Arabidopsis thaliana: one gene and its partners. The protein of the gene in region 2 interacts with the protein of the main gene of each other region in a pairwise test. Each region holds a gene or a part of one and is shown on either strand. Other genes may lie near its edges.

Region 1 (4,674 bases), on a different chromosome or scaffold from region 2:
GATTCGACATTTAAAGATATTATTCATATATTTCTTGAAGTTTATGGTAGTCTTCGAGTGTTGAAAATTTCTGCATTTACCAAAAAAAAAAAAACTGTATTAATGTCTACTTGGATTTTTTAAAGTTTAAACTTCCAGTTTATGAAGCATTGGCTTTTCCTATATACTGAATTTTCCTATTCATATTAATTTTTTAAAATTTGTTTTGTTTTAGGTCATGATTCTTAAGATTTTTTTTATTTATTTATTTATTTATAATTAACTGATTTTGTACCGAGCTAACAATAATCCACTAAAATATTTACATTGACCAACCATGATTGTAATCCCAGTAAAAAAATTAGTCATATAGTTAAGTGTCAAGCATAAAACCACCATTAATTGGTTCTTTGAGATATTAATTAATATCCTTTTAAGTAATGAATATGCCGTCTAATATCCGGCTTTGAAAGCTGTATTGTTTTGAGTCTTTCATTTTGAATGATATTTTTATTTGGGTTCATGACTTCTTATCTGTATTCTTCTATATCGAATAACAATAGTAAAAGAAAATTGTGATATTTTATTACGAATAAACTATCAAATCAATTGTAATGCATCCGCTACTTAAAAAATCCAGCTAAGTTAATTCGGTGTCAACTCAGCTTTGCCAAATTTGTCCAATATAGTGGGCAATTTGACATTATCACCCAATCTTTTTACAGGGTAATTTGTGTAAATTCATGATATGTCTTTATGAGAAGGAAAAAGAAAAAGAGAGTTCATGATATGTATAAACGCATGATATATTACAATTAAAGAATAATTTTGATCAGGTTTGAATTTCACTAACCATCATAACTGATTTGACAAAAATAGTATATTCTTAACAAGTTAAAGTAACAAACATCATCACTACTCAAAATTTTATTATCCGAATTAATTTTGTTTAGCAAATCACACTGAAAGATGATTGGAATATATATCGTCAGGGAGGGTTCGCATAACATGCCTACGATACAAAATTAGGCTGTCGGGAATTAAACTCTGTGGCATTCGTCAGATACGTATAAATTCCCTTATTATTTTTATCAAAACATTACTATTATTATTCTATGTAAGAGATATAGGTTCCAGGTGGGGAGAATCATAAAGTGCCAAAAATCTCAACCACGACGTTGGCCAAAAGTTATTTTGTTTTCTTTCCTTCCACATATGATCCGATTCGGATTTCATAATGCGTTTTTCCATTTATAAAATGTGTTATGTGGACATACATTTACTAATTGTTTTTCCAGCTCCTTTCAAGTAATATTTAATTTGGTGGGTTCAATTATATATCTCTTCTTATCTTTTTTCATAAACAGCAAAAGCATAATCGACACGGATCCACTTGTGTTCCTCAATTGAATCTCACTATACCCATTTGTTGGCTAAATGTCATATTCGTTTGCTAACTCTTTTATTTTTTTCTCTTTTTTTTATACAGAAAAATAAAAATAAAATTCAGATAATAATTATTACATTAGTACAATAGAAAATAACTTTTAAATTATATAATGCTATTTTTATTCTTAGCTATTACAATAATATTTCTTTTTTAAGCTTGTTAGTTACAAAACAGCAAAATTAACAGCAAACTTGTTAATTTGGGATAATTTTGACATGTCTTTTTTTTTTTTAAATGTAACCACGGTAACTTGTTTTTCTGTAGTATGAAATAATGTGAAATCTATGGGATATCCAATGGTATTGAATATTGTTGAATCCAGTGAGAAGTACTCAGTTTCCTTGGTTAAAAGTTCAGACTTAAAAGAAACCAAGGACCAAAACCGGAAGCTTAATTTAAAATTTAATAAGTAACAATTGTAGTTGATGTTTCCATCATCATCACGACCACCAATTACTTATATAATTATGTATGCTCCTATAAGAAATCAGAGATAACATCAAAACCATGTTGTATTCTACAAAGCAAGAATAGCATATACAATATACTCTACTATCAAAATTGCATTACTTAGTGGAATCCCTAGAATTCCTCCTAACTCAAAAGTCATATTTTCTTCTTTTTTTAATTCCCATGAAAAATATTACAAAACCCTAAAAACCCTCCTATAAAACCAACCTCAACCCCTCCCACATTTCTCCATCAGCTCTTTCTTACATCATATTCCAATCTATCACTTTATAACAAATTAAAGTCTACGTTGAGATATGGCTTTAAAAACATGGAAGCCATTCATAACTGTTGTTTCTCTACAATTTGGATATGCTGGATTGTCGATCATAGCGAAATTCGCACTGAACCAAGGCATGAGTCCTCACGTTCTAGCGTCGTATCGCCATATCGTCGCTACAATTTTCATTGCTCCATTTGCCTATTTCTTGGATAGGTATAGTATGTCCATTTGGAATATAAAATTGTATAATGGTCATGCATGCATGTATGCTTTTACCTATACGTACGTACTTGTAGAGACTTGTGTCTACGTATTCTTCACGCAGAATATGTTAATCTTCTTTTTCTGATCATGTTACTTTAATTTACTTTTTGAATATCATGAGCAGAAAAATACGGCCGAAGATGACGCTATCCATCTTCTTCAAGATATTGTTGCTTGGGTTATTGGAGTAAGAATTACTATTTTGGTTTTTCATATTTTATTTATTTCTTATATTCCAAATGCTTAATTGAATTTATGTGTTTTATGTTTATAGACCAACAATTGATCAGAACTTATACTACACTGGTATGAAGTACACTTCCGCCACTTTCACAGCTGCAATGACAAATGTTCTTCCTGCCTTTGCCTTTATTATGGCATGGATCTTTAGGTATTAAAAACTTATAATTTAATTTGGTCCAGTTTTGGTTTTTGGTCTAAAGAGATCATTATTATTGTTGTGTAGACTTGAGAAGGTTAACGTCAAGAAAATACACAGCCAAGCCAAGATTCTAGGAACAATTGTGACAGTTGGTGGAGCAATGCTTATGACTGTTGTGAAAGGACCTTTAATTCCTTTGCCTTGGGCTAATCCTCACGACATTCATCAAGACTCATCCAATACCGGAGTCAAACAAGACCTAACCAAAGGCGCAAGCCTCATCGCTATCGGTTGTATCTGCTGGGCCGGTTTTATCAATCTCCAAGTAATTTAAAGACCAATATTTATATATTGTTCAATATATTAGAAACGGTTATATATAGTACTAAACCACTAAAATGATTGTTTATGCAGGCGATCACGCTTAAGTCGTACCCTGTAGAGCTATCCTTGACAGCTTACATATGTTTTTTGGGGTCTATTGAAAGCACTATTGTGGCACTTTTTATTGAAAGAGGAAATCCATCTGCGTGGGCCATCCACTTGGATTCCAAATTACTAGCTGCTGTTTATGGTGTAAGATTAATTAGTTATACTAAAATACAATCGAGGGTTTGATTCCGGTTACATATATAAACAATCAAATAAAATGATCTTATTTTGATTTGATGCAGGGAGTCATATGTTCAGGGATTGGTTACTACGTTCAAGGAGTGATAATGAAAACTCGTGGACCCGTGTTTGTTACTGCCTTCAATCCATTGAGCATGGTCATTGTTGCGATCTTGGGGTCTATAATTCTTGCTGAGGTTATGTTCCTTGGAAGGTACGTAAACTTTCAAAAAGCTCTTGAAAAATCTAATGATTTAATTAGTTTAATCTCATTGATTGAATAATTTTTGTAGGATTCTTGGAGCAATAGTGATAGTTCTTGGACTCTATTCGGTTTTGTGGGGAAAAAGCAAAGACGAACCATCTTCATCATTTTCAGACATGGACAAGGAGCTACCACTTAGTACACCACAAATTGTGCTCCCATCAAAAGCAAATGCAAAAATGGACACAAATGATGCAAGTGTTGTGATCTCGAGGCCTAACACCAATGAATCAGTCTAAAATAAAGAAAAGACTAACGGCGATTATTAAAATATAATAAGAGAAAACAATGAGTGTCCGATTTCTAAACACCGGATCGATCGTTGCTTATTGGTAGAGTGTTATTGTAATGCTAATTTTGGCTTTGTTAAATTTTGTATCCGGCTACAATATATGAAATGTTTTGCACTACTAAAAGTACCTTTACTTAAAATTATATAGTGTTTTGAGTTCTTAATTTATAACACCTCTTCAACCACTTGTGGGTTTCCTACGTATATTTCCAACAGCTGGCCAATAAATCTGCAACAAAAATAATCATGTTTCTTTCTTTGTATACGTAATCTACAAAAAGTTATTGGAAAATAATGCTTTTAGAGCACGAGTATGATGTAATGCGGTAGTGGGTAGTGGAGCATAATGGATCAAATCAAAACTTTTTATGAATTGGGACGTGTTTTAGAGATTCTGCATGTTGCGGTTTCTGGTCGCCACATAAGAAAGCATCTCATTATATAAGAAAGCATCACGTTGTGAGATAGTTTTGTACTTGATGTGACAGCTTTTGTACTTTAGTTACAGAAAGCTTCATACTGAAAGAGCATTGAGTGTATGGTGCTGTTTTGTTCGAATATTCTACGTTAGTCATTTCAAAATCCTATCGGATCACCAATTCACCATCCTACTTGACGTCGGTAAAGTAGAAAGAAAAAGCTTTAGGTCGAGCGAACAATAGAAGAATGAATCAAAAATGAACGAATGAAATACTGA
Region 2 (3,348 bases):
AGCATAGGCAAACGTGGTCCCTTTCGACCAAAAAAGTAAGTATTTCCCTTCAAAGACACGCTATTGTGACTAAACAGTTCATGCCAATCTATATCAATATCAAGAACCCTCCATGAATCAGAGCTAAAATCGTAAACATCAATAATGACGTTTCTTGGACTCCCCTCATAAAGAAACCTCAAAATTTTGTGGTTACGGTTGTTGTCGTATCCAAGAGCAAACTTGTCATATCTGTGGAGTTTTTTTCTTGGTTGAATCAATTTCGTCTGCCCTAAATACGGATTCCATACCATAACACTCGAGTTGTCTTTGGCGATGCATAACAATAAGCCATCACAGTGATAGACTTGAGATATCTCGACTTGATCAACTTTATTAGGTATACTTATTTGCTTTATAGATAGATCAATCAAATCTTCTTCGCTACGGATTCCTTGAAGATCTAATCTCAAAGAACAAACCCTAGAATCTGTAACCATGAACTCCAAGAACTGATTCTTTGCTGCTGCTTTTTTACCTAAGATGTCATATTTCGATATAGCGTTCCACTTTTTACAAGTAGATCTCACTGCTCTTAGAGATGTCAATGGAACCCTAGAAAATATTTCTCTTACCAAATCATCCGGTAGATCGGTTACTGTCGCCATTCTTCCTCCAAGTTTTCAGCTTTCTCCACAAGTTTAATGTCTCATTGACCTATTCGGTACCCTAATATGTTTGTATATGTGTTTTGGTTGGGCTTGTAATAAAGTTTTGCTTTGGCACAGATTTTTTAAATGGGCCTATTATTTGGAAAAAAATAAACCATCGAATCCTTAACTATATCATATGGTAAAATTACGAAATCGTTTAGCAACTGATTTTCAGTTTTACTTAAAAACTACGAAGCTCTTGATTTAGTTCGTAGAGTGCACCACCACATATTTAGTAATCTCTTTATAGATCAGATGATATGTGACTAACATAAATTTCCAGAGTAGATGAGTGATGACTATATATTAATTGGGAAACTTTGACATCTATCACTTTTACGATTCCATTTCTCAAAATAAACTACTAAAGACTTTTTTTTTAAAAGGATGCAAAAGAATCCTAAGATAGAGTGTTTTGAGAAGTCTATTAGCCCATGGAACTAGAGTTTTAGCTAGCAAAAGCATATAAATTTATGGTTAGAACATCCATGGAAGGTAACTTTGTTTGAGAGTTGTCCTCTCAAAACAACTCTCTTCCTTCATCTTAATAAGAGTATCAATTTCGAATCATAGTGTTCTTGGTGACAACGAAGTAATATTTTCTCTATCAGTACCCTTGCATCATAAAGTTTTAATAATCTATCTAAGTTCTTAGTTTCTATCTTAATAAGTTTGAATCTTTCTTCTTTTGAGATTGCTTACAAAAAAATCATTCAAGAATCAATTTATAAAACCTTATATAACTTTATAAATATTTTCTATAAAATGTATTTAAAGAAATTATAAATCCTTTTGTGGTGTTTTTGAAAAAAAAAATTAGTGATAGTTATGAAATGTATCATAAAAATTGTAGTTTTCAAATTCTTCCTCAAGAATTTGATTATACGGGTTGTTGCTGAACATAGAGATGAACAAAAAGAAGATATGTGTTGAAAACATTGGAATGTTGCCAAAGTCGTCATCCTAACTAAACCAATATACCGAATGATTTATTGTTTTTGTTTTATTATCGAATTAAATACAAAAAGATTACTGTAACTGTTGAACAACCTCTAGTCTTTCTAATATATTCTGATTAATTCAACGTTATAGGTGAGGAAGGTAAGATGTTGGTAAAAGTCATGCATGGAAACAACTTCACAAGACAAAACTTTGATATAAAATAAAGTACATATAATACATGTTGGTGCATTAGTATTACTAAATACAAAGTTGTAGATCCATGGGAGATCAACAAAAAATTCACCCGGTTCTTCAAATGGAAGCCAACAAGACGAAGACAACAACACCAGCTCCCGGAAAGACAGTCTTGCTTCCGGTTCAACGGCCGATTCCGCCTCCTGTTATTCCTAGTAAGAATCGAAATATGTGCTGCAAAATCTTTTGTTGGGTGTTAAGCCTTCTAGTCATTGCATTGATCGCGTTAGCAATTGCGGTTGCGGTTGTATACTTTGTTTTCCACCCTAAACTCCCGAGTTACGAAGTCAACAGTTTACGAGTTACCAACCTTGGAATCAATCTAGACCTCTCTCTTTCCGCGGAGTTTAAAGTCGAGATCACAGCTCGTAATCCCAACGAAAAGATTGGGATTTATTACGAGAAAGGAGGTCATATCGGTGTGTGGTACGACAAGACAAAGCTATGTGAAGGCCCTATACCGAGGTTTTATCAAGGACATCGCAATGTAACTAAACTAAATGTGGCTCTAACGGGAAGAGCGCAATATGGGAACACTGTCTTGGCGGCATTGCAGCAGCAACAACAAACAGGACGTGTACCGTTAGATCTTAAAGTGAATGCACCTGTCGCCATCAAACTCGGAAATCTGAAGATGAAGAAGATTCGGATATTGGGGAGTTGTAAGCTTGTTGTTGATAGTTTATCAACGAACAATAATATCAACATCAAAGCTAGTGATTGCAGTTTTAAGGCCAAACTCTGAGATGTTCTTAGATCTAGGCGCTTTTACTTTTTATTGGTGTTAATTACTCAATTCATCATTTTCTTATGCATTTGATTCATATTTTGGATTAATGGTTTTATTCTCAATAAAAGATTGATTTTTATTTTTTAAATTACGAGAGATTTTTGAAATTTCAAAATATTGCAAATGAATGGTTCTTTTCCGCTTAACATAATTTCTATGAAGTAGTCGGAACGAGACTCTCTTCTAGAGAGAGAGAGAGTCATTCAGGAACCGACGTGCTTACATGGGAAAAAAACCTATTGCGATCTCATGTCTTTTTCCAAGGCAATCGATCCGCACATTAAAACGACGAGAAAGAAAATTAATACTAGAAGAGGGAAAAAAACATACAAGGGAACCAAATGTCGTCATCTCAACTACAAATGTTGGCTACACTGAAAGTTTTTCAATAGAGATAAGATCTTCACGGTCGAAAGCAAAAGAGCAACTCGTAACACCTATCGAGATTATAAATTCTATTGCCCATAGCATGGAATCAACTTCAGCATGAATGGTTTGGTAGTGTGAATCACATCTATACTATTTTTTCAATGGTAAAACTTTCGAAAATTACAATAGAATTGAAATATAAAATTTCGAGAAAATTCAAACGATCTCGAGTTTAATTCATCCCAAGTAAAAAAAGAAGTAAAAATCGAAGAAATTACAATGTAATCATTATCAATTAAC
Region 3 (4,007 bases), on a different chromosome or scaffold from region 2:
TGCACATTGCAATGCTGTTGAACAAAAGAAATACCTTAAAATTTAACTCATTGACCAATGCAGGCAGGCAGCCATGCCTAAATCTGGAGCAGAACTAATATAACCACCGGGTAATGTCAAACTTGCAGCGAAGGTCACAGTTGCTATTAGTGTTGCAGACAAGAAGGGTTTAGGTACTGTAATGAAAGTCGAAGCATTGGATAACGTTAGCTTCCTACTCTGTGAGTCACGACACGGCAAGCTATTATTAGGTTGGGAAGTTGAGGAGATTCGCTCGTTCTTGCTGTGTTTGTGTGTTTTGTTATTGGACCAAACACTTCTTCTACAGACTTCTCTTGTTGCTTCTTTAAAAAGTTTATGTGCTTTGTTCGATTTAGTTTGGGCTAACTATGTTGGCCCAAAAACTTTTGCTTCTCATCTTTGAAAACCAGTTCTCTTAAATACGGTTTGGTTTTTTTTTGTTTTTGTGTGTGTTATAAACCTAATAGTTTTCTTTTCTTCCTGATATTCAATAAGAAAGTTATCCAAATGAAAATTCGCTATCAATGTTGAATCACACTGGACATAATAAAAGAGAAAATAGACCATTTAAAAGTAATAATATATAACTAGAGAATTCATCTGTTATATCGTCAGAAAAAGAAAAAAAAAATCGGTAATTGAAGCAAAGAACTTCAAATAGTGTTTATATGTACAAACCAAAAGTAATGCTCTGTTTTTTTTTCCAAGTGAATGAACAAATGTCACCAACTCACCTGTCACTCACACCCCTGAGAGCCACCGGAAAAGCTCACTTATCTCTTCTCCGGCATGATTCGCTTCTAAATCCATCACCGTCAATTCCTCACTCCGACGACTACTCCCAGTAAAAAATCTACCAGAGCTTCTAAACGACATTGCACGCGACGATATACCTCGTGAGAGTCTGTCAACGTAATCCTTGAGCCAGCTTCTAGAACCATCGTTACCTATATCCGCCGCTAAACTAGCTTCAAACGACGTCGGATTAGTCGTAACCGCCGTTGCTGTGGCAGTTGTTGTAGTCGCGTCTTCCTGTTTTCCACGGTTGAAATTTGACTCTGAGATTTCTGAATCTACGTCGTCTACTATGTAATCGAACGAACCGATTGAGTAAGTTCGATGCTGCTCAACGGATTCTGGAATCGGTGTTTGACGACGACGGCTGATGGATCCGATTTCGAGACGGAAGCTGTTTTCTCCTCCGCCGTTGTTTGAGCCGACGACGGCGAGAGACTTCATGAGATCAGATTCTGAAGCGAAGAGAGGAGAGCGACAGAGAGGACAAGTCTGGTTAGAGACTAGCCAGATATCGATACAATCGGCGTGAAAAGCGTGACAACAGAGAGGAAGAAGACGGAGCTGATCCTCCGGTTCGAATTTCGACAAACAAACGGCGCAATCTCCGGAATTCATGGAGCTAGATCGGCGAGTGACGGAGGAGAATTTGAAAATCGGAAGCGAATCAAGCACGGAGGACCGTTCTGTTTCGGGAGAGACTCGATGTCCAGAGAATCGTCGGGAATCGGAAGTTACGGTTGCGACGGAAGAGGAAGATGAAAGAGGGAGAACGGAGCGGTGGCTACAGCGATTGAGACAGCGGAGGAGGAAGCAAATGGAAACGGAGATGAGAAGAGTCATGAGGAGAATGAGAATGATGACTAGTACGCTTGGTTTGAGACTATCGAGAGAAGAAGAGTGAGAATCGTAGTTTCCTCCGCCATGGCTGGGATTGATGAGAGATTCCATTGATGAGAGGAGAGAGCTCGCACAGAGAGAAACAGAGAGAGAAGAAGAAGAAGAAGAAAGTTATAAATTCCCCAACTGTTTTATATTAATGACGGAGGAGAAGAGAGGCACGTGAGAGTGAGAGAGGTCACGTGAGGGTCATGGACCGGTCTTATTACTCTACTCTGCCTTATAAAGAAGGGGGACGTTGGGAAAGAGGCAGAGAAATAAATGTCATCGAACCAACTCAAACTGTCTATATTTAATTCTATAAAGTTATATCAAATCAATTGGCTTTTCACTTTGCTTTCAATTTTGTCCACTATCTTCTTAAGGTATTTTTGCATTTTGTTAAGGTCATAAATTGAGGAGAGTTGTGACATGTATTTATGTAAAACATTTTCACACCAAAGTCATAGTTTCATTTTCAAATATGTAAACAAAATTGTAGAAAACAATACAAATAAAGTTTTATTTGGAGGTGTTGGAATCATTTCTTGAGTCCTTGCTCTTTATGCTTACCTTGTTGAGTCTAAAAACAGATCGATACCATTTTTGACATTTTCCCCAATTCTTATGATTATTATTGTTTTTCAACTTTATGTTGCTTTTTTGATATATGAGTGATGCTATCATTATTTTCACACTGTCTTTTTCTGATATCCATTAGTAGTTTTTTTTTTTTTTTGCTGCCAAGTGTTACAAAATCCGATGTTTTTTTTATTTATGCAATAGAATCCGGAAAAGTTTGTCTCCTTGCGTGAACGAATTCAGGCGTCAAGAAAGCAAACCGGTTTAAATGGAGAAAAGTACGAACATTTTAACAAGATAACTATAAGCTGTTAGAATGATAATCAACCTGATAAAGAACATGTAAGTAAATAATTATATCTCTAAGAATTAATTGGATTCGTATATCAGAGATCAAATGGAAATAATGTACAATGGTCAAGAAGTGACTGAGGAGTAAGATTCTCTATATACTTAGAACATCATTATTAGTGGTATATTAGTCAAATTCTTAAGCTAAGATTTATGAAAAAAGGGCTCTTAGATAAAAGTTTTTACTTTTATATTTTCGTAAATGCGATGACATTCGAAATATATATATATGTTCTTACAAGTAAAAAGATTAATTAAAGCAACTAATACGTTTATAGGTTAAACTCCAAACAAATACGTACAGCTGCCAAGAAATGTTTACACAAGAATATTATTATTTTTCGTAAATTTGTTAGGAAAGACGATAACAGTGCTGCAATAAACATAGCTTGTTTGTTTTTGTTTGAATAGAATGTTTATAAACATTCTATATTATCCAGAACCTTATAATAATTCATATATGGTCAAAAGAAACGAAACTATATAGTAGTATTATAAGAATTCCACAAGTTAGTTGGCTTAGAATTAATACGACTCCGCAGGGGACATGTGAACACAGCTCTTATATTAATTAGGGATATGCAAAATCAGAATGACACTTGTAATATTAAGTCCATCACGTAATGCAATATAGATGCAGAGAGACACGTGACTACTCATTATTGGATATTTTTGTTTTTTTTGGATATTATCTGTATTTTTGCGTAAAATAAGGTTGCGGTTGCACGTTCGTAGCATGCCTCTTACTCCATTTAGGTCTTAGTTTGGACTTTGGAGTTTTCACGGTTTCTGTTTTATTTTATTTCATATATATCAAAAAGCATTATGGATTATACAATACGAAGATATCACGCTCTCCAGAAACTATGCCACCAAATACGTAAAATGCATGTAGATACAACCTGTAACTGCAAGTATAATAATTATTATTTTGGTTTAAGCTGTAAGTATAATTATAGTTATATCTGATCATTAGTGATTAAAAGAACTTAAATCCCTAAACTAAAACAATCATCTCTCGATGTTGAGCTAATCATATACAAATCGAAGCCAAAACATTTTCCCATTTTTTGTGGTTAATCTTAATTACTCCTTTTTTTCTTTTTCTTTTTAGTGCTGTTGAATTTAGAGAGCATGCTATAAATTCAGATATCAATTCAAAAGAAATTTCGGTTAGAGAAAGAAATAAAATTTATGTAACGAGGAAATGAAAGAAACATGGTGTGCTCTTGTGTCTGTACCCTTGGAAGGACAACAAAGTCATAAAAACAGACAACCTACTTTATTCATCCAACCATGAATATTTTCCACGTCACTCATTTATTTCCTTTCCAAATCAATTTTGTACACTTGATTTTGTCCTACTTTACTTGTATTGC

Evidence for each region. Proteins that work in one complex are often made in the same cells at the same time.
Region 1: the proteins of AT1G54540 (region 2) and UMAMIT14 interact in a protein complementation assay, tested with the Arabidopsis thaliana proteins (one large-scale study listed by BioGRID).
Region 3: the proteins of AT1G54540 (region 2) and ATL4 interact in a protein complementation assay, tested with the Arabidopsis thaliana proteins (one large-scale study listed by BioGRID).

Annotation. Positions count from the first base shown.
Region 1 is NC_003071.7:16,490,608-16,495,281, reverse strand, and holds UMAMIT14 (nodulin MtN21 /EamA-like transporter family protein), read left to right. Parts: upstream 1-1,938; 5' UTR 1,939-2,196; coding exon 2,197-2,375; intron 2,376-2,550; coding exon 2,551-2,613; intron 2,614-2,700; coding exon 2,701-2,817; intron 2,818-2,892; coding exon 2,893-3,133; intron 3,134-3,222; coding exon 3,223-3,384; intron 3,385-3,482; coding exon 3,483-3,634; intron 3,635-3,713; coding exon 3,714-3,924; 3' UTR 3,925-4,139; downstream 4,140-4,674.
Region 2 is NC_003070.9:20,366,988-20,370,335, reverse strand, and holds AT1G54540 (Late embryogenesis abundant (LEA) hydroxyproline-rich glycoprotein family), read left to right. Parts: upstream 1-1,824; 5' UTR 1,825-1,914; coding exon 1,915-2,634; 3' UTR 2,635-2,783; downstream 2,784-3,348. Other genes in the region: AT1G54550 (F-box and associated interaction domains-containing protein), read right to left, coding at 1-647.
Region 3 is NC_003074.8:22,254,028-22,258,034, forward strand, and holds ATL4 (TOXICOS EN LEVADURA 4), read right to left. Parts: upstream 2,151-4,007; 5' UTR 1,768-2,150; coding exon 763-1,767; 3' UTR 536-762; downstream 1-535. UniProt on the Arabidopsis thaliana protein: E3 ubiquitin-protein ligase able to catalyze polyubiquitination with ubiquitin-conjugating enzyme E2 UBC8 in vitro.